Linked DNA regions of Elephas maximus indicus. The protein of the gene in region 1 interacts with the protein of each later gene in a biochemical or structural test. Links are inferred from orthologs where the notes say so. Each region holds a gene or a part of one and is shown in the gene's direction. Other genes may lie near its edges.

Evidence for each region. The genes of interacting proteins can lie anywhere in the genome.
Region 2: of the proteins of CHUK (region 1) and MAP3K14, one has a biochemical effect on the other in vitro, tested with the Homo sapiens proteins (5 studies listed by BioGRID and IntAct, with this or other methods). The link is inferred for Elephas maximus indicus from reciprocal best matches to the Homo sapiens genes CHUK and MAP3K14.
Region 3: of the proteins of CHUK (region 1) and NFKBIB, one has a biochemical effect on the other in vitro, tested with the Homo sapiens proteins (2 studies listed by BioGRID). The link is inferred for Elephas maximus indicus from reciprocal best matches to the Homo sapiens genes CHUK and NFKBIB.

What each region holds. Positions count from the first base shown.
Region 1 is NC_064834.1:51,889,273-51,897,120, reverse strand, and holds the start of CHUK (inhibitor of nuclear factor kappa-B kinase subunit alpha), read left to right. Parts: upstream 1-4,834; 5' UTR 4,835-4,900; coding exon 4,901-5,005; intron 5,006-7,848. Other genes in the region: CWF19L1 (CWF19-like protein 1), read left to right, coding at 1,209-1,353.
Region 2 is NC_064837.1:51,659,072-51,666,319, reverse strand, and holds the start of MAP3K14 (mitogen-activated protein kinase kinase kinase 14), read left to right. Parts: upstream 1-4,230; 5' UTR 4,231-4,331; intron 4,332-7,248.
Region 3 is NC_064829.1:112,633,619-112,640,510, reverse strand, and holds the start of NFKBIB (NF-kappa-B inhibitor beta), read left to right. Parts: upstream 1-3,874; 5' UTR 3,875-3,972; coding exon 3,973-4,151; intron 4,152-6,892. Other genes in the region: SIRT2 (NAD-dependent protein deacetylase sirtuin-2), read right to left, coding at 2,657-2,703, 3,494-3,509. UniProt on the Homo sapiens protein: Inhibits NF-kappa-B by complexing with and trapping it in the cytoplasm.

The sequences.
Region 1 (7,848 bases):
GCCGCAGCAACAGATACAGATGTGGACACTGATGACATAGGCATGTGATCAAAAATATAGAGCCCACAAAAGGGAGATTCTGTGCATGGTTTTGTGTTCATGATAGTCAGTTGTATTTTCAGCATTGTTTTCTAAAATACTATTTACAGTTATTACAGCAATTTGTAGTTAACAAAATACTTGAAAAGGCTTTTTTTTTTCCAGCTATACAAGAAAGGTAGTGCCATCTTCATTTTATAGATGAAGTAGGCTCAAAGGTTTGCCTAGAGAGCTAGGACTTGAGTTCAGGTCCTTTGACTTTTAGAGGATTTGTGTGATTTGAATTCAACCCTTCTATTTATCATAGCTTCAAAGTGGAATATGGACCATATGATATGCAAACAGTTATTTCTAATATATCAAAAATAAGTAAAAATAAAGATAAAAAAGCAATGGCAATTAGAAGAAAGTTTGTACGTAGTGACATTTTATATGTGTGTCTGTGTGTGGTTATTTTTTAGTCCTGAGGGCCAAGATAAGTTGTTTTGTTGAGAGTGAATTTATGCTGCTGTGCCTGTCTAGACCTGAATCCTTAGAAGGAGAGGCAGAGGAATTTCAAGTCAGAGTGGGTATGACACTTGAGTGTCTGACTGCACCAGGCCCTTGGCAAACTCCTGATCTAGTTGGGATGTCAAAACTAGAGTTTAAGGCAGGATGTAAGTACAACTATTGTGGTGCTCTGTGTTAGCTCCCCATTTCGCAAAGCCTTGTAAGGTAGGTGGTAGTAGGTGTTCTCATTTCGTGGATGAGGAAATCAAGACTCACAGCTGAAAGTCATTTGTTCAAGTCATAGACAGCATGTGGCTAAGCTAGGAATGGAATTTATCTGCGGTCTGACTCCAGGGCCTGCCTTCTTTCTACTGTGCCATATTGCTTCTCTAAGTACCAATTCCATAGTTCCAAGTTTGTTCAAGAAAAGAAGTTAATGGGGTACAAGCTATTAGGAAAGAGGTAGGACCTGAGCTGGTCACTTAAAATGGGTATGATTTTAGTAGACAGATGGCAGCAGTGGCGCTCAGAGCAGGAGAATGGTATGAGCAAAGTCAGAGAAATTTGCATACCTTCTTTGGGTGATGCTGAGGAGAGCTCTCTGGCTGGTGAAGAACAGAGGGAGGAGGGATTTTGGGGCTGATACTGTCCATTTTGACTTCTTTGTGTCCTTTCTGCAGGGAGGTCCTGGCCAGTGAAGCCATTCTTAATATTCCTGACAAGTCCGATTGGAGGCAGTGTCAGATCAGCAGAGAAGAGGAAGAGACCCTAGCCCGCCGCTTCCGGAAAGACTTTGAGCCCTTTGACTTCACTCTGGATGACTAACTAAAGGGAAAGACACTTTACGAACTTCACAGGTTCATCCACCTGTTTTTAAAGAAACTGCAGTTTCCTATGAGGACTGTTTCCCTGCCTCTCTTTCATGTATTCCCGTGGAACCTGCCCACAGCAAAAGGTCTAGGACTGAATAATTTTTGGAAGAAGTCACATTCTAGGATGAAAGTCCTATGTTAAAAGCATGTCTGTCATCCAGCTCCAAGTACCAGCTTGTGTTTATCAACATTTTAAAAAACATGTAGACTATCAAATAAAATCCAAAGGCTTTTCTATGGTTGAGAAGTGTCTTGTGTTCATGTTACCTGTGATCCTTGAAATGATGTAGTGCATGTAATAGGAGGGGCCAGGGTTTTAGGCCCAGTGTTTCATCCCAGAATCACCCAGGGTGGCTTCTCCCTGAGCAACCTAGTTTTGAGAAGGGACCCAAGGCCTTTGCCACTTTTCTTTTATAGCAGTCATCTTACTGATGCATAAAAGCTCATTCAGTCCTTCAGCAAATATTTAACTCCTATGTGCTAGGCACTTTTCTAGGCTCTGGGAGTATAGTTATGTCCTAACATGGTCCCTGTTGTCCCATAGTTTACAGTCTAATTGGGAAGAGAAGGGACAGATTTAAGAAAAAAAGATGATTTCTGCTTTGGATATGTTGAGTTTTAGATGCCAAAGATTTGTAACGGATGCATCCTGGGTGCTGCTGGAGAGTTCTAAACTCATGGAGATTTAGGTTGGTGATAGGGATTTGGGTATCATCAGGATATAGGCAGTACATTAAATAAAAAGGATGGATGAAAATAAGAGTTAAAGCTCTAAGCTGAGGATGACTACCTGAGAAGTATTACTATTTAAGGAGTACTTGGAGTGATCCAACAAGTACATGGAGAAGAAGCAAAGAGAGAGATCTCAGGAGACTGTCAAAAAAATTCCTCCTATATATTGGGCATGTGTGGCCCAGAGGAGAAATATGTGGCAGTTGAAACACTATGGGGGCAGTTCTACTCTGTCCTATAGGGTCGCCATGAGTCGGAATAGGCTGAATGGCAACAGGTTTATGGCCCAGACACTGGATTTCACTTAGTCCTTACAAAATCTCTACGAGGTGGGTATCACCACTTCCATTTTACACCTGATGAAGCTGAGACTCACAAACTTGATTGTGGAGTCTGGGGCCTACCAGCCTGGGATTTAAAAAAATGAGCTATGCCGTATCCCTAAGAATGAGTACTTTTTTTTTTTTTAATTGTGGAAACTTATAGCTCAAGTTAATTTCTCGTACAAAAACGTATACACATATTGTTTTGTGACATTACTTGCAATCCCCACAATGTGACAGTACACTTCCCCTTTCTACCCTAGGTTCCCTGGGTCCATTCAACCAGTTCCTGTCCTTTTCTGCCTTCTCATCCTGCCTCTGGACAGAAGCTGCCCATTTGGTCTCGTGTATCTCATTGAATTACTCTTCACTTGTATTATTTTTTCTTTTATATTCCTGTCTAATCTTTGAAAGGTGGGCTTTGGCAATGGTTTCAGTCCTGGGTTAACAATGTCTGGGGGCCATAATTTTAGGGCTTCCTCCAGTCTCTGTCGGACCATTAAATCTGGTCTTTTTATGGGAATTTGAATTTTGCTCAACACTTTTCTCCCACTCCATCCAGGACTCTCTTGTGTTCCTGGTTAGGGCAGTCATTGGTGGTCTCAGGCTGGTGAAGACTCTGGTTTATGTGGTCCTTTAGTCTCTTGGGCTAATGTTTTCCTCGCGTCTCTGGCTTCATTCTCCTTTGCTCCAAGTACCCAGTAGGATGGGACCAATTGATGCATCTTAGATCATCGTTTCCAAGCTTTTAAGACCCCAGACACCACTCACCAAAGTGGGATGCAGAACATTTTCTTAATAAACTTTGTTATGCCAGTTTACCTAGATGTCCCCCAGAACTATGGTCCCCAGGCTCCAGCCCCAGCTAGTCTGTCCCTCGAGGTGTTTCGATATGTCCAGGAAATTTCTTAGCTTTTGCTTTGGTCCAGTTGTGCTGACTTTCCCTTCACTGAACTTATTCTGGTCTACTATCTAGTAAGTGAATTCCCCTTCTCCTCCCTCTCCACCCTTGTAACCATCAAAGAATGCTTTCTACTTCGTTTAAAGCTTGAGTTCTTATAATAGTGGTCTCATACAATATTTGACCTTTTGTGACTGACTAATTTCACTCAACATAATGCCCTCCAGATTTGTCCATGTTGCGAGATGTTTAGAGGATTCATCATTGTTCTTTATCGTTGTGTAGTATTCCATTGTGGGTATGTACCATAATTTGTTTATCCATTCATCTGATGATGGGCACCTAGGTTGTTTCCATCATTTTGCTATTGTGAATAATGCTGGAATGAACATGGTGTGCATGTGTCTATTTGTGTGAGGGTGCTTATTTCTCTAGGATATATTCCTAGGTGTGGGGTTGCTGGATTGTACGGTATTTCTATTTCAAGGAAGCACCAAATTGTTTTCCAAAGTGATCGTACCATTTTACATTTCCAGCAGTGCATAAGTGTATCAACCTCTACACAACCTCTCCAGCATTTATTATTTTGTGTTTTTTGGATTACTGCCAGTCTTGTTGGGGTGAGATGGTATCTCATTGTAGTTTTGATTTGCATTTCTCTTGGCTAATGATCACCAGCATTTCCTCATGTGTCTGTTAGTTGCCTGAATGTCGTCTTTGGTGAAGTGTCTGTTCATATCCTTTGCCCATTTTTAAATTGGATTATCTGTGTTTTGGTTGTTCACATGTTGCAGCATCTTACAGATTTTAGAGATTAGATCCTTATTGGATATGTCGTAGCCACATTTTTTTCCCTCTAACTGTAGTTCCCCCCCCCTTTGGTGACATCTTTTGACAAGTGTGTTTGATTTTTAGGAGCTCCCAGTTATCTAGTTTCTCTTCTGGTATTTGTGCATTGTTAGTTGTGTTTTGTATACTATTTATGCCACATATTAGGACTCCAGAATGGGGACGTTTAAGGAGCAAACCAGTGACCCTCTTAGCGCAGAAGTCTTCCTAGTTCTTGAGATTCCCTAACATTTAAATCATCAGTGGCCTTTGCCAGTGCCAGTTCAGCGGGTGACAGGGTTGGAGTATACACGGCTGGGGTGTGGGGAAGGAAGTGTATACAGAGATGCAGACAATCTTAAATTTGAAAAAAAAAAAAAAAAAACGAATACAGGACAGATTAGAAAGTGATTTGAACGGAATGTAAGATCTGGAGAGATCTTATATTTTTCAATATTAGGAAAAAAACACGTGGGCTCTCTCAGCCAGTAACAGACCCATGAAACTTCCAAAGCAGACGACGAACACCCTCCACGCCTCCCAACCCTTTCGCCCGCGGCGTTTTAGAGAGCGCTGGACAACGTGGGCGGGGCTTTTCCTCGGGCAGTTACCGGAAATGACACATATCTCGCGAGAAGAAAGGCGCGCGAGCCTCGGCGTCCCGGAACCGGCCTTGGAACAGCGGCGGTGTATAAGGCAGCTTCCCCTCCCGCCCCATGGAGGGGCCCCCGGGCCTGCGGCCGGGCGCGGGCGGGCCCTGGGAGATGCGGGAACGGCTGGGCACCGGCGGCTTCGGGAACGTCTGCCTGTATCAGCATCGGGTGAGCCCGGACGCGCGAGGGAGCGGTGACTGTTTGTCAAAGCGTCTGTGGAATATTAGGGACTGTCAGTGTGTGAGAGATTGTCAGTGAGAATTGGAGGCAGTGTTTGTGGGCCAGTGGGTATGTGTGTGTGTGTGATATTGTACTTGTGAACTTGGGTGACTGAATCTGAGGTTATATCCGTAGGAACGTGTGATACTGGTCCTGGGCCAGCGTGTGAGATAGAACTATTAGGGGGAACTTTTGGTATGAGTGGCAAGGTGTGACAAGCTGTTTAGTGAGTGTGACAGTGCCTTTATGTGTCTCTTTGTGAGTGTACAATGTTAGGGTGTGTGAGGCAGATGAATGTCAGAACGTGTACGTGTGAGCAGGAATGGGTGAGAAAATGGGGCTACAGGGGGGCTGTCTGTTGGAATGTGCGTGTTCGTGTTTGTGACTGGAGGCCTGTGAGTGTGATATCTGTAGGGACCGGAGTAGACAAGGAAGGCGTCATGGAGGGTCTGGAGTTAGGCCTTCGAAAGCATGGGTTGGCTTTGGAGGTGAGGATGCATTTCAGGTAGGAAATAGTGTGAGGACGAGCTGGTGAAAACGATCAGTGGCTTCACAGGGAAGGAGATAAGATTGTAGGTGGGGGGCAGCTAACATCAGACTCAGGAATTTTATTATGATTTAATTGAGAATGTTTAACCATTGTGGCAGCAGTTAATAATCATGTTCAAGTCATGCATCTTCTGAGATTCAAATAAAGCCATGAATCTTTTCTTCCAAAAATGCACATCCACACAACCTTAGGCCTAGCCATTTGAGGGGGTTCACAGTCTCCTGACACACATTTACAGACCTTATAGGTGTACAGAACCTGAAATAATAATCCCTGCAGTATAGCCTTAGTTTTGCCATCTATAAAATGGGTGTAATAATGTATATACTTCATGGATCCACTTGAGAGTTAAATAAGATAATGTATGTAAAACTACAATGCCTGGCCCATGGTAAACCTTCAGATGTTAGCTGCCAACATGTGTTCTTTTTGCTGTTATCATCCTCATCATCAGTCTTTGGGCTTAAAAAAGGAAATGTTAAGATAAAAGTGGTGTTCTAGGAAGATTATTTTGTGAAAGATGAATTTGAGTTGAAAACTTATGGGCAAGATTGGCACTTAAGCTATTACTAAAATGCCAGCAGTTGGTCTGTGAATGAAGAAGTGAAATCAAATGAAGAAATCCTGATTTGCTGTTTAATGAACATGGCTGTGGGTAGCCCATATTGTGAGGTGGGAGTGAAGAGAGATGGGAGCCTGTCTAAGAGGGAATAGTCATGTTTGTGGGGCAGTTAAAATGTCAAATGTTACTGGTAGAACTGAAGAAATTTTGCAAAGCAGGTTTCTGTTGTTAGGTGCTGTTGAGTCGTTCTGACTCATAGCGACCCTGTGTACAACAGAATGAAACACTGCCCAGTCCTGTGCCACCCTCACAATTGTTATTCTTGAACCCATTGTTTCAGCCACTGTCTCAATCCACCTCATTGAAAGCCTCCTCTTTTTTGCTGATCCTGTACTTTACCAAGCATAATGTCCTTCTTCAGGGACTGGACCCTCCTGATAACATGTCCAAAGTACCTGAGACAAAGTCGTGCTATCCTTGCTTCGAAGGAGCACTCTGGCTTTATTTCTTCAAAGACAGACTTGTTAGGTTCCTCTGGCAATCCGTGGTATACTCCGTATTCTTCATCAGCACCATTGTTCATAGGCGTCAGTTCTTCTTCAATTTTCCGTATTCATTGTCCAGCTTTTGCATGCATATGAGGTGATTGAAAATACATGGCTTGGGTCAGGCATAACTTAGTCCTAAAAGTGGCATTTTGCTTTTAAACACTTTAAAGAGATCTTTTGCAGCCAATTTGCCCAATACAATGTGTCTTTTGATTTCTTGACTGCTGCTTCCATGGACGTTGATTATAATTCCAAGTAAAATGAAATCCTTGACATTGTTAATGTTTTCCCTGTTTATCATCATGTTGCTTATTGGTCCATGTGTGAAGATTTTTGTTTTCTTTATATTGAGGTGCAGTCCATACTGAGGATTGTAGTTTTTGATCTTCATCAATAAATGCTTCAAGTCTTTTTCACTTCCAGCAAACAAGGTTGTGTCATCTGCATATCAGAGGTTGCTGATGAGTCTACACTTCTAATGCCCCATTCTTCTTCATACAGTCCAGCTTCTCGGATTATTTACTCAGCATACAGGTTGAATATAGTGAAAGGATGCAACCCTGTTGCACACTTTTCCTGACTTTTAAACTATGAAGTATTGCCTTGTTCTGTTTGAATAACTGCCTCTTGGTCTACATACAGGTTCCACATGAGCACAATTAAGTGTTCTAGAATTACCATTCTTCGCAGTGTTATTCATAATTTGTTATGATCTGCACAATGGAATGCCTTTGCATAGTCAATGAAACACAGGTAAACATCTTTCTGGTATTCTCTGCTTTCAGCCAAAATCCATCTGACATCAGCAGTAATATTGTTTCATGTCCTCTTCTCAGTGCAGCTTTAATCCTGGCAGTTCCCTGTCAATGTACTGTTGCAACCGTTTTTTAATTATCGTCAGCAAAATTTTACTTGCATGTAATATTAATGATATTGTTCTATAACTTCTGTGTTCTGTTGGATCACCTTTCTTTGGAATGGGCACAAATATGGATCTCTTCCAGTCAGTTGGCCAGGTAGCTGTCTTCCAAATTTCTTGGCATAGATGAGTGAGCTTCCTTCCATCTTCTTTTGATGCTGCATTGTTTAATATTTTTTTCCTGTAGAATCCTTCGGTATTGCAACTCCAGGC
Region 2 (7,248 bases), on another chromosome or scaffold:
GTCACAACTCTGGCTGGGAGGGACTACTGGCATCTAGTGGGTAGAGGCCGGGAATGCTATTAAACATCCTACAGTGCACAGGATAGCCCCTTACAACAAAAAATTATCCAACCCAAAATGTCAATAGTGTCAGGGTTGAGAAACCCTGGATTAGAGGTGAAGATTTGGTGAGATCATGCCCAAGAAGCAAGTACTTACCAGTGTCTGGCAACTAGTAAACACTCAAAAAATAGGAGCTGTTATTCTGAGATTTTTCTTTGTGGAAGATCATGGTCTAACCTTTCTATTTCCAGATCCAAGCCTTTGGGGTGGAATGTGGAAACCCTTGAGCGCTGAGAACCTTGCTCACTGCTCCAGGTGTGAATCACTCTGTAAATGTCAATTTCTTTTATTGAAAGCAGAACTGAGGCCATACCAGTGACTCAGGACTAGGAGCCATCCCAGGCTGTGGTGACCTAACTAGCCTGGCGTGGAGGAAGTGATTTTGCCCTGAAGCTCTCCTTCCAGGGGGTGCAAAATGAAGCATTTCAAGACTCAGAGACTCCAAGGGGCTCACTTGAAGGGGCTTAGAAAGACCGAGAAAAGCAGCCAAAACCCTGCTTGTCTCCAGATATCTTCCTCACTGGGTGGTTTGTTCCTTCCAGGACTTTGAACTGATTTGTTCTGGTTTGAACTCCTGCTGCAAATTTGCATTTTTGGTAAGTTCCCAGGTGATGCTATGCTGCTAGTTAGGGACCAATTCTGAGAACCACCAGTAGAGCAGTGGTTATCAACAATTATCATCTATAAGATTCACCTGGGGATCTTGTTTAGCTGTAGATTCTGATTCAGTATATCTGGGACCAAAAAAAAAAAAGCCAAACCCAGTGCCATCGAGTCGATTCTGACTCATAGTGACCGTATAGAACAGAATAGAACGGCACCATAGAGTTTCCAAGGAGCCCCTGGTGGATTCGAACTGCTGACCCTTTGGTTAGCAGCCATACCACTTAACCACCATGCCACCAGGGTTTCCATATCTGGGACAGAAAGGCAAATTCTCAGCAGGAGTTCCTACCAGTTCTTTCCCTGGTTCCTTCCCTGCAACCTAACGTGAAATTCCTTCTCCAGAGCCACAGCTTTGGGCCAAAGAGTTCAATCTCTCCCGTTAATCACATTAGTGTTGTCATTGTTGTTACATGCCATTGAGTCAGTTTCTACTCATAATGTCCCTATGTACAATAGAACGAAACACTGCCCAGTCCTGCACCATCCTCATCATCGTTGCTATGTTCGAGCCCCTGGTTGTAGCCACTGCGTCAATCCATCTCATTGAGGGTCTTCCTCTTTTTTGTTGACCCTCTACTTTACCAAGCATGATGTCCTTCTCCAGGAACTGGTCCCTCCTGATAACATGTCCAATGTATGTGAGACAAAGTCTCACCATCCTCATTTCTAAGGAACATTCTGGCTGTACTTCTTCCAAGACAGATTTGTTCATTCTTCTGGCAGTCCATAGTTTATTCAATATTCTTCACCGACACCATAATTCAAAGGCATCAGTTCTTCTTCGATCTTCCTTATTTATTGTCCAGCTTTTGCATGCATATGAGGCGACTGAAAACACCATGGCTTGGCTCAGGAGCACCTCAGCCTTAAAAGTGACATCTTTGCTTTTCCAGCAGATTTGCCCAATGCAATGTGTCTTCTGACTTGACTGCTGCTTCCATGGCTGTTGATTGTGGATCCGAGTAAAATGAAATCCTTGACAACTTCAATCTTTTCTCTGTTTACTGTGATGTTGCTCATTGGTCCAGTCGTGAGGATTTTTGTTTTCTTTATGTTGAGGTGTAATCCATACTGAAGGCTGTAGTCTTTGATCTCCATCAGTGTTTCAAGTTGTCTTCACTTTCAGCAAGAAAGGTTTTGACATCTGCGTATCACAGTTGTTAAAGGGTCTTCCACCAATCCTGACGTCCTGTTCTTCTTCATATATTCCAGCTTCTCGGGGCAGATAACCTTAGTGGGGTGAGTCGGGCATGCAGGGGGCCCAAGATTAGAGAAGTGCCAAGGGAGCCTGGAGAAGGTACGTGGGCACTGTGTACTAGAGAAGGAATGATGAAAGAGAGGGAAGGCAAAGCTGAGCCAGGGAGCATTTGCAGAATCTGGGTCTGTGCCCACGTCCTTCCTGAGAAGTGGTGTGCCCAGAGGAAACAGGTGAGAGGAGAGGCAAGACATGAATCCAAGCCCAGGAATCCAAGCCCACGGACACTAACCTGTAACCTACCATCTGGCAAGCTCCACCTCTCCCTGAGTCACTGAAACACAGAACCCTGGGGTTGGAGGGAGCTTTAGGAGCCAACAGTCCAGCTTCATTCTTACCCACCATCTCCCTGCTAGTCAGTGGCAGAGCCAGGATTTGCATCAGATATCTGGCTCCAAAGCACAGGCTTTATGGGGCCACAACCTCAAATGCTTCAGGGGCAGACAGGTGGCATAAGGTTAAGTGGTTGCACACAAGACAACAGGGGTGGAGGCTGTAAAGAACTGCAGGCGCTGCTAAGGTATTAAATTAAAAAACAAACAAATAAAAACCACTGGGCCAGCCAAACAAAACATGTCTCTGGCCTGGGAGAGTGGGTGAGGCCCGCAGGTTGTGAGTTTGTGACCCCTGCCTAAATGAATGTTGTTGTATGCCCTCAAGTCAATTCCAACTCATAGTGACCCTATAGGACACAGTAGAACTGCCCATAGAGTTTCCAAGGAGCAGCTGGTGGATTCGGACTGCCAACATTACAGTTAGCAGCCTGAGATCTTGACCACCTCGCCACAGGGCTCCGTGCCTAAATGAATAGTCTTCCCTAACACCTTACCCAACAAACACCTTACCCAAGAGAAGGTGTTTGTTGGGTGCCGATCTTCAGAAAGAGGCTTTGAGCTACCAAAGACTGTCTGAAAAGTGTGATTCCAGCAGAGTGGCCTGGCCTTTGTTCAAACCCTTTTAGAGACTGCTCAAGGCAGCTGCCTTTGATGGGGCCTCCTCACCGTTACCATTAGAGCCAGTCACAACTTGTGTGAGTCCCTGATGGGGGGGGGGGTTACCATGGAAGGGGCACATCTTTTATTTCGCAAACTTTTAAAAATAATTTTTGATTTTTTTTTTTTTTACTATGAAGTACTGGCTCACTGTAGAAACACTGGAAAAAAAAGATAGGTAACTTAGAAAATAAAAAATATCCATACCTTCTATCTCTACTCCCTCTCCCCAATCCCTCCTCCCCATTCAGACAGAAGCACTGTTGACACCTCGGTGGTATTTAAACTCAAGTCCTTTCTTTGCATATGCAAGGCTTTAATCTTTCTGGTTTTGTAACCTTTATGGTCCCTATGAGTCGGAGTAGCCTCAACCGCAATGGCTTTGGTTTTTGGTTTGGTAACCTGCATACCCAGCGAGGAGATGCTTCGCCCAGGGTTAGCACCACGTTGTTTCTCTGGCAGGGGAGGCTTTGCATCACGTCAGCCGCACGCTCTCATTGGGCTCTGATTTGAACACACGTTTTTATCCGACCTGTGACCTGTGTAGGCCCTTGGCTCCCTAAGCTTTTCGAGGGCAGGCACCGTAACTTGTCTTACTCGTCCTCAAGGACTCTACAGAGTCAGGCATACAGTAAGTGCTCAACAAAAGTATTTCTAATCCCATCACCCCCGACCTCAGCAGCCTCCGCCTGGCAGCAAAGGGGAAGTGGAACGACACCCGGGAGGGGGTGCGCCTCGCCGTCTCCAAGGTAACCGAAATCAGAGGCTGGGAGTGCCCACGCATGCGCACACTCTCCTTTCCTTCCCGTAACCTCAAGAAAAACGCAACCGGTAAAAAGACTGCCCGCAGCCGAGCGCGCATGTGTGGTTACACCAATCACTTCGGCCGCCTCCGCTTTCTGTCAATCTGTCCGCCCAGCAATCTCTTCTCTATAAACACTGTCCGGAAATAGTGCCCATTTCTGGAAACGAGGCCTCGTTAACCAATCGCCGCTAGAGGGGCGGGACAACGGGGAGAGCCTGGGCTAGTATTGGGCCCGTCTCATTGGTTATCTTGGAGGAGTGGGAGGGGCCAAAGGTCGAGACGCGGCCAGAGAAAGCAGGCGCGAAGAGAGGCAAAGTTGCAGCCGCCGGGGGAGGCGTGGCCCCGGGGGCGGCCGGGAAGGCGATGAGGGGGCGGGGCCCGCGGTCGGGGCTGGGCGTCCGTGGGGCGGGGCGACCGTGGGCTGGGAGCTCAGCGGTCGGTGACCGGCGGCGGGAGATCGTGGGAGAAAGGAGCGCGACACTCGCTGGCTGGAGAAATCGGCGCTCGGCCGGTAGGTGACTGAGCCGGACCCCAGGGCCCGTCGTGGGGCGCTCAGGGGGCGGCGGGGACAGCTTGCTCCTCAGCCCATGGCCTGGCCACGGCCTGGCCTGCCGCCGCCCCTTAAGCGGGGGAGCCGGCCGTCCGGTCCCGCGCGGCCCGGCCCTCCTGGTCCGACCCACCCGCGCACGGGCTGTCGGCAGTCGCGGCCGGCCGCCTGCCCTAGCTCACACGCGCTGCCGGGGCTACAGTCGCACGCTTTGCTCGCTCCAGGCCTCCAGGCCGCTCACCACCCCCCCCAGGCCACACGCTCGCCCCAATCGCCCGCAGGGGCGCGCTGCTTCCCCTTCCCCAACACCCCCTCTTCCACTGCGCTCAGATGCCCCCACCGCTAGGCCGCGCCCTCCCCGCACCCCCCGGGTGCCCTCCAGGATCGGGGCTCTCTTCGCTCCGGGAGCAAGGTGTCTTATGCTGATGTGCGCCCGGCCCGTGCGCCTTGCCACCTGCCCTGGCCAGTGAAACTCTCGTGGCCGTCCCCGGGAAGTTCGTGGGTCACGCTCCGAGGCGGGGAGAAGGAGCAGAGCCTGCCCTTGGCATCCAGCGGGGCAGTGCTGGCCGCCGGAGCATCTTCCCTCTTTCCTCTGGCCCCAGCCCTGCTCTTTAATTCTTCAGCCCTTTCCACTGAGGACATTCTTATCTGCCGGCTAAGATATAATATTACCACTTGGAAGCCCATCGTGGCCCTGGCAACTTGAAGCGACCGGGCACCAGACAGAAAGAGGACACTTGTACAGTGCAGAGGTTCCCACCTGCCTAGGAGCCTCCCTGGTTCTCGGTAAACTTCAGAAACGTGTTTACTTCCTAGCTGAGTTTAACATGTTGCTCTTGGCTCTCAAAAAGGACGAATGCAGAAAAGGTACAGAAATCAGCAGTAAAAATGGTAAAATTATTTTTGTTACTTGGAGCCAAAGAACAGTAGTGATGTTTAAGGACTAAGAACTCTAAAAGCAAATGAAATTAAATGATAAGATTGGACCATGACACAAACTAGCAGTCTGAAGTTTATTCCTGGAAAAAGGTTGAAAACCCCTTGACTAGAAGCATGGTCTTTATGAAAGATTATAGGGAGATTAGTATCTTAACATTTGTGATGTATTTTTTACTTTACTTAAGTATCTAAGTATCTTGATACCTGTAACCCCTTTTTCCCTTCAGACATCTCTGTGCTAAGATAGATAGTATTGTCCTGTTTTATAAGTGAAGTACCTGAGGGAGGTGGTGGTGGGAATTATGTATATTGCCTGATGCCTCGTACATTGATAGTGGGGGACTTGAGCCTGAGTCGCTCAAGTCATTTCTGCACTCCTTCCCCTGGACCAGAACCACATTATGGGACTCAGATGTAGGAAAGAGGGAGCAGTGTTTGGTGTGGTATTTATGCTCTTAATGTGAGAAGACACTTAGAAGGTGCTCGTCTTGCTTAAGATGCATTCAGATTTACTCTTGGTTTTTTAAAGTAATGTCAAAGTTAGTTTCTTTGGTTCAGTGATAGCAGACCTCTAAGATGTTCAGACACCTTTAGGACATCCTCATTTATTTTGAAGGGTGTGGTGAACTTCTCAGAAGGTCTCAAAATAAAAGTTGTAGTCTCTGACTTTAATTTTAGAAATAAGAACCCAGGTATATGTTTCAGCACTTTTGTGAAATCAGACAGCAGTAAGCTGCTAAGTTTTAGGCTGTCTCCTGAGTGTTTTCAGATGATAAGGAGGAGTTCTAAAGGGGTTTTTTGCCCCTGGTATTGTCTGTCAGAGTTTGTGGGAGTGGCACCATTGACAGAGACCCTGCCAGATGAGCCTTCATCTATTAAACAAAAATGTCTGGCCAGGCTGTTTCGCCTCAACAGATGGAGATTTGGTTCCTCATTTTGATTCTCCTGTTGAACATTGCCTCCTTTGTGATCTGCTTGGAGTGTTTGTGTATCATTTCATGCTGAGAAGTGGACTTGCCCTGATTGGCTGTCCAACCCTAGGCAACTGTTGTGATTTTTTTTTGGTGAGTGATAACAGTCCATCCATGACCTGAGTCTAGTGAGAGATCTGTAGAAATGTGAGAGGTGAAGCTTCATCTAGGGCTGTTTTCTTCCTTGTTGGCACCCTCTTAAGAGTGTTCTGTCCCTTTGGCCTATGAAGTCACTTTTAGTTTCCTATTTTTTTCCTGTTTCAATGGATACCACATGGGCTTTCCTGACAGGCCTAGCCACCTTGATGAAGAGCTGACAGATTCACATTGGTTGACTTGACAGATGTACTTGCTTGGGGAAACGTTAAAAAATCTTAAAACCTAATTCATTGCTAAAGAACAAGTATAAGCTTCATACACAATCAGGCAGCATATTTCTACCAAGGCTTCCATCATCTCAAAGCTGTTTTTTTTTTTCCTGGCAAAAGGTTAAAATGCAACTAAAATTCTGCTTTCATGATTAATAAGTCACTACCGCAGTTGTGTCTGATGCTTCCTGTTTGCCCCATTTTAGTGTTTCAGTTAAACTGGAGACATCGGAGCATTATGGGCACTTTTGACGGCACCAGCATGAAATTGACATGGGGGGAAAATCTGTGTCAGTGGATTATTGGGAATTGTAAGGATAAGCCAGCCCCTCTGGCCTCGGAACACCAAGGTCCCTAGTAAGGGAAAGGAGTGCAGCTGAGCAGCTCCAAGGGGTAGCGTGAACACGTAAAATGATGCACGTGTGAAGGCTTTGCATGTACTTGGTGATGCTGACTGAAATGTCGAAAGCAGTAGATGAGAAATGGAAGGCCAGACATAGGGCAAGTTGTGTAGGAGATCATTTCAGTTGAGCTGGTGGGACATTGAAGTCTGTTAGATATGGGGTCTTAAGTTCTGGGCTTGTCTTATAACCTGAGAGTGAC
Region 3 (6,892 bases), on another chromosome or scaffold:
TCAGAACCTCCCCTTCCAAATGACAGGGCTTACTGCAAGGCACTGACCAAGACATAACGATTTACTCTCCTTGAATAACTTTAGCTTCCCCTTCCTTACCTCCAATGCATACTGGGTCCCCCAAGATCCAGGTGCCTTATGACAGAAAAAAAAAAAATTCTGCGCAAACAGGCCCTAATCACAACCGCGGTATAATATTCACCAAAAAAAAAAAACCATTTGCTGTCGAGTTAGTTCCAACTTGTGGTGACCCCATGTGCGTCACAGTAGAACTGTGCTCCACAGGGCTTTTGATGGCGGAGTTTTTCAGAAGAAGATTGTCAGGCCTTTCTTCCAAGGTGCCTCTGGGAGGACTCGAACTACCAACCTTTCAGTTAGCAGCCAGCACATTAACCTTTTGGACCGCCCAGGGACTCCCCAGCATCCCCCTTAACTTTCTTTTGAAAAGCTCACAGTCCTGCATCTCAGAGGGCTGGGGGTCAGACACAGTCCTGGTGTCCCTGTCTCACCCTTAGTGCTCCCTCTCCTCCCACTACAGTGCTCCATCCATCCAGTTTTGTATTTCTTTCCCCTCCCCTTGCAACTTCCCTTTGAATCAAAGTCACCCTCGCCATGTTTTAACACTATCTGGTATGATTCTTTCTTTGACACTTTTTAAGATTACACAAGCTTTGCAAAAACTTTGAAGGTTAGAAAATGTGTAACTTGGGGCACTTGCCTCATGGTTCTCTCTCCCAGGCCCCATCGAGATAACCGCTATTAGTTAAGTTTTGATGTTAATTATGCCAGCTTTCTCCTCTACATGTAAACGTTCACTATTTTGATAGAAATGGGTCAGGCCCTAGTCTGAGGCTGCACCTTGCAGTTTTCCAGAGAACAGTACAGTACAGACCCACCTCCTCCTTTTAAGCAACTGCATAGCGTCCCATTGTATGGACGAACCAGTTCATTTAACTCATCTACTGACAGCCATTTGAGCTGTTTCCAGCTTTGCCACACTGCAGAGACAATGCTGCGATTTACGTCCTCCATCTCTCTCGGGGACTGAGGATCCCTTTCTAATACTAAGCCTTTTTCTCTGGACCCCACATGACAGCAGTGGTGCTTTGGGAGCTAGGGGGGTTTGAAACCCTGGCCTGAGGGGAAGCTCTCATACCCTCAGTGTCACTGTGCTATGCCTCTGTGAGGTACTTTAATCCCAGCATCTACACTGGTCTACATCTGCAAAGCCATCTCGCATCTGTGGGTGGGCTGGAGACAAAGAGGCTCTGTGGGAGGACTCCAGGGCCCTGCCCAGCCAGGGGCAGCTTTGCCTACAGGGGAGGTGGAGGTGCTGGCGAAGTCTTCCAGCCTCCAGCTTCTAGGAGGCGGCCCTGTCGTCTCAGTGTCTGGAGGGCAGTATGCTGAAGGTCTTGAGTTCCAAACCCTTTCCTGCTCTTCTAGCCAAGGGACAGAAGGCAAGTCTTATCACCTCTGCCCCAGATACCCCAGATACCTCAGATTCCTCATCTACACAACGGGCGTGTGCCTCCCAGGGATATCGGGAAGGTTAAACCAGGCGATGCATACAAAGCACTAAACAGAGTGCCTGGCACAGAGTAACCAAAAAAACCCAAACCCACTGCTGTTGAGTAGATTCCAATTCATAGCCACCCTATAGGACCGAGTAGAACTGCCCCACAGAGTTTCCAAGGAGCGCCTGGCAGATTCAAACTGCCGACCTCTTGGGTAGCAGCTGTAGTACTTAACCACTATACCACCAGCGTTTCCAGCACAGAGTAAGCACTCAATCAATGCTAGCCATGGATATAATTATTCGACCATTCCTAGCCAAAGGAGCCCTAGTGGTGCAACCGGCCAGTGCTCAGTGGCTAACTGAAAGATTGGGGGTTCGAAAGCATGCAGTGGCTACCTGGGAGAAAGACCTGGCAATCTGCTCCTGTAAAGATTACAGCCTAGAAAATCCTATAGGACAGTTCTACTCAGTCACATGGGGCTGCTACGAGTTGGAATCAACTCATGGCACCTAACAACAACCATCCCCAGCCACCAAACTACTGAACAGATCACAGTCTTTCATGCCTCCAGGTCTTTGCACAAACTACATCCTCTGCTTGGAACACCATTTGTCACCTTGTGTAGGAACATTCTAAGCCAGTCTTCACCGACTACACTGTGTCTATATCTCAATCTGACTCCTAGGCCAGCCTGTGGATTCCTCCAGGGAAGGGGCTAGGTAGAGTCTGTGATCCCACAAGGCTTACTCCCACAGTGGCCTGAGATACCTCCATTATTCCCTTATAGACTCATTTTCTAGTGATTTTTCTGTGAGAGCCGTGAGTTCAGGGACCAAATCTGATGTGTGTCTCTCCCAGGCCCAGTACAAATGAGGTTCAGAAGGGATGGGGGGAAGAGGGACAAGGAAAGAGGGAACCTGGGAGGGCAGGCCTGGGACTGGGGTAACACACCCTTCTCTGAAAGTCACCAGAATCCACCATTCCCCAGGAGGCTGCACCCTGGGTGGGGGAGAGGGCCTGGGGCAGTGAGCTGGGGGCCCTAGGGGAACTGGTTTCCCTCTGCCGCCTCCCCCAGTGTGGGATGTAGGAACAAGTCCATCTGTCTCCTTCCCTCCATTCCACCCTTTACCCCATCTCACCTGAGCCTCCTGCACCTTCCCTGCCTGGGTCTCCAGAGGGTCAGAGGCTGGGGGAGGAGGGGAGCAGACATGGTTACAGCAGGGGGGGATGGTTAAGGGGGAATGAAGGGGTTAAGAGCGGGAGTAGGGGGACCCAGAAGACCCACCGACCTAGTCACACTGGGGTAAGGAGTAGAGAGGAGGGGATGAGGAAAAGCTGATCATATTAGAGTGGAGATTGCTGGGAAGGGAGGTGGCTAGTGAGGGACAGAGAGGCAGGGGAGGGACAGGTTTAGGGGGACAGAGAGGAGAAAGGAAGGGATACAGGGTGTGGAAGAAGAGTTAGAAAGAGTTAGAAAGGGCACAGCCGTGTGTGTGTGTTGAGGGGGTTAGGTTTCCAGGGTGGAGGGAAATTTAGGAAGAAAGGAGGTAGGAAGGGATACCCTGGCTGGGAGGCGGGTTTGGGAGAGGAGGTGCGGTGGCGGTGGTAGGTTTAGGAGAGGTACAGGAACTAGAGGGAAGAGATAGGAGGGAACACCGGGGCCGCCTAGCATCATACAGCTGCCCCTAACAACCAGGTACCCTTAGCAACCGGGATCGCGGCAACGAGGGTCCTTAGCAACGAGGGTCGAAAAACATGCGATTATCAGTAACACGGTAAAGTGACCCTTAAAACCTCGCGACCCAGAAACCCAACAACCTATCGACACAGAGCATTTAGCAATGGCCCTTCAAATTCCACTCCCCCACGCAGCCTCCACCTCCTGCCCCACCGCGCCCGCTCTCGGGCCCCAGGGCCTGGATCACGAAACCAGGCCCCGGTGCGGCCCGTCCCTCCCACCAGAGCCCTCGACTCACGGTCCGGCTCGGCCATGGGCGCGGGGCCGGGGCCCTCGGGGCTGTCACCGACTGCTCTGTCCCGTGACGGCACCGGAAGGGGGAGAGGCAAGGAAGAGGCAGAGAACTACAACTCCCAGAAGCAATAGCGGCCGCAGACAAGCGATTCTCTCAAAGATCGGAGCGCGTCCCTCCGGATAAGGAAGGTACACGAGAGCCGGACTACGAGTCCCAGAGGGCCGCGCGTCGGCAGCCATGTTGGTAAAGGGCGCCCGGAAAATGTGGGAACAGGTCGAGAGCTGTAGTCCATTCCGACACTCTGATTGGTCTTGGTGCGAGATTGGGCGGGACGTGAGCGATTTAGCCCACTCTTATTGGAGACAGTAGGGGGAGTGTTGGGGAATTCCCCGCAGGGCGGAAGCTCCAGAGGTCCGGGCACAGCCCAGAGGCAGGCAGGCTGGCGGAGGGCGGCCTCTGGGGTCCCGGAGGCAGAGGGGGGCATGGCCGGGGTCGCGTGCTTGGGGAAAGCCGCAGATGCGGATGAGTGGTGCGACAGCGGCCTGGGCTCGTTGGGTCCGGACGCAGCGGTCCCCGGAGGACCGGGGCTGGGCGCAGAGCTGGGCCCGGGGCTTTCGTGGGTGCCCCTCGTCTTCGGCTACGTCACTGAGGATGGGGACACGTGAGTGAACCTTAGACTCCCGAACCGGCCCCAAGGATCCAACCTCGGATAAGATCAGCTTTACCTGATACCCCAGTGGTCTGATCCGGCTTTCTAACCTTTACTCCTAAATCTGACCTCTGATCCTTGACTTCCTGACGTCTAACTCCCAAATCCTAATCTTTAATAAATCAATCTATCCAACTTTGATCTTAACCATATATGTGTGTGTATATATATATATATGTAAATTTTTTTTTTAAACCCAATCATTTTTGACTCTCCTTTCTTGAACTCTTGATTCTTAGTTCCTGGAATCCACATCCCTAACCCACTGATCCCAAAACCCAATTTGACCTCATGTGGCCCGAGACCTCTAACCTCCTGACCTCTAACCTCCAGACATGGTCTTTAATCCTTAATTCATGATTTGTAAGCCTAGACTTTGATTTCTGACATTATAGTTGGCCCCTGACTCTAAGGTCCTGCCTCTGGAGCAGTAATTTTCAAATCTTTCATTCAGAGAGAGATTGTAAGCTCCATGAGAGCAGGGATTCATCCATTCAACAAATATTTATTGAAAACTACCATGTTTTGAAGCCCTGGTTGCATAGTGGTTAAGAACTTGGCTGCTAACCAAAAGGTCAGCAGTTTGACTCCACCAGCCGCTCCTTGAAAACCCTATGGGGGCAATTCTACTCTATCCCATAGGGTCACTATGAGTTGGAATTGACTGGATGGTAGTGGGTTTTTTTTTTTTTTTTTGGTACCATGTGCCAGGCCCTGTTTTAGATGCCAGTGATAAGGTTATGAAGAAAACAGACAAAAAGTTATGTCCTTATGGAGCATACATTCTAGGTGGGAGAGCTAGACAGACAGAAGGTCAGACAGAAAGAAAGACAGGAAGGAAGGAAATAAAAACATAGTCTATCAGAAGATAGCAAGTGTTACGGAGAAATAGCAGGAAAATGAGACAAATAGGTATCTGGAAAGAAGAGAATTGCAGGCAGAAGGAATAGCAGTCATACAGGCCTGGGGTCTTTTGTCAGTTTTGTTTATTGCTGTACCCCAGTGACTTGGACAGTGCCAGACCCGTAGTAACCAACGAGTTGCTGTGAAGTTGGTGCTGTCTCATGACAACACCACGTGTATCAAAGCAGAACTGTGTGCCACAGGGTTTTCGATGGCTGATTTTTTGGAAGTAGATCTCCAGGCCTTTCTCCCTAGGTGCTTCTAGGTGGATTCAAACCTCTAGCTTTTCGGTTAGCAGCCAAGGATGTTAACCATGTTAACCATTTGTACCACCCACCATCTCCTAGATCCATACCAACCAGTTGCCTTCAAGTCCGTTCCAACTCACGGCAACCCCATGTGTGTCGGTAGAACTGTGTTCCACAGTATTTTCAGTGGCTGTTTTTTTTGGTTTTTTAGAAGTAGATCTCCAGGACTCTCTTTTCCTTGGCAGTTAATAAACATTGGCCTTCTCAAAGAACCAGGTTGTTTTTTCATTAATTTTCCCTGTTGTTTTTCTGCTTTCTATTTCATTGATTTCTGTTCTGATCTTAATTATTTCCTTTCTTCTTACTTTAGTTTTAATTTATTCTTCTTTTCCTAACTTTCTAAGATAGGAGCTGAGCTTATTGACTTGAGCCTTTTCCCTTTTATCTGATACAGGCGTATAGCTGTATAAATTTTCCCCTTACTACTGCTTTAGTGGAAACCCTGGTGGTGTAGTGGTTAAGTGCTGCGACTGCTAACCAAAGGGTTGGCGGTTCGAATCCGCCAGGCATTCCTTGGACGCTTTATGGGGCAGCTCTACTCTGTCCTGTAGGTTCGCTGTGAGTTGGAATCGACTCGACGGCAGTGGGTTTGGTTTTGGTTTGGTACTGCTTTAGCAATATCTCACAAATTCTGATGTGTTGTGTTTTCATTTTCATTTAATTCAATATGCTTTCTATTTCTCTTTTGATTTCTTATTTGACCCTTGGGTTATTTAAAAGTATGTTGTTTAGCTTCCAAATATTTGGAAGGTTTTCCACGCTTCTTTCTGTTAACAGATTTTTTAATTTGATTTCATGTGGCCAGAAAACATACTTAGTATGGTTTGAATCCTTTTGAATTTATTGAGACTTGTTTTATGGCCCAGAATATGGTCTGTCTCGGTAAATGTTACATGTGTGCTTGAGAAGGATGTGCGTTATGCCATTGTTGCAAGGAGCGTTTTCCAAAGGTCAGTTGGGTCAAGTTGGTGTATAGTGTTTTCTAGTTTTGCTGATTTTCTGTCTACTTGTTATACCAATTATTGAGAGGGGTGTATTGAAATCTCCAACTGTAATTGGGGATTTGTCTGTTTTTCCTTGTAATCCTGTTGGTTTTTGCTTTGTGTATTTTGAAGCTCTGATATTAACGGCTCTACTCTGATAATAAAATACTCCAGCTTTCTTGTGACCAGCGTTAGCATGGTATATCTTTTCCATCTTTTAATTTTTAACTTATTTGTGTCTTTATATTTAAAGGGCATTAAAAAAAATTTTTTTTATTGTGCTTTAAGTGAAAGTTTACATATCAAGTCAGTCTCTCACACAAAAACTTATATACACCTTGCTACATACTCCCTATTGCTCTCCCCCTAATGAAACAACCCACTCCCTCCCTCCACTCTCTCTTTTCGTTCCATTTCGCCAGCATCTAACCCCCTCCACCCTCTCATCTCCCCTCCAGGGAGGCGATGCCAGCATAGCCTCAAGTGTCCACCTGATCCA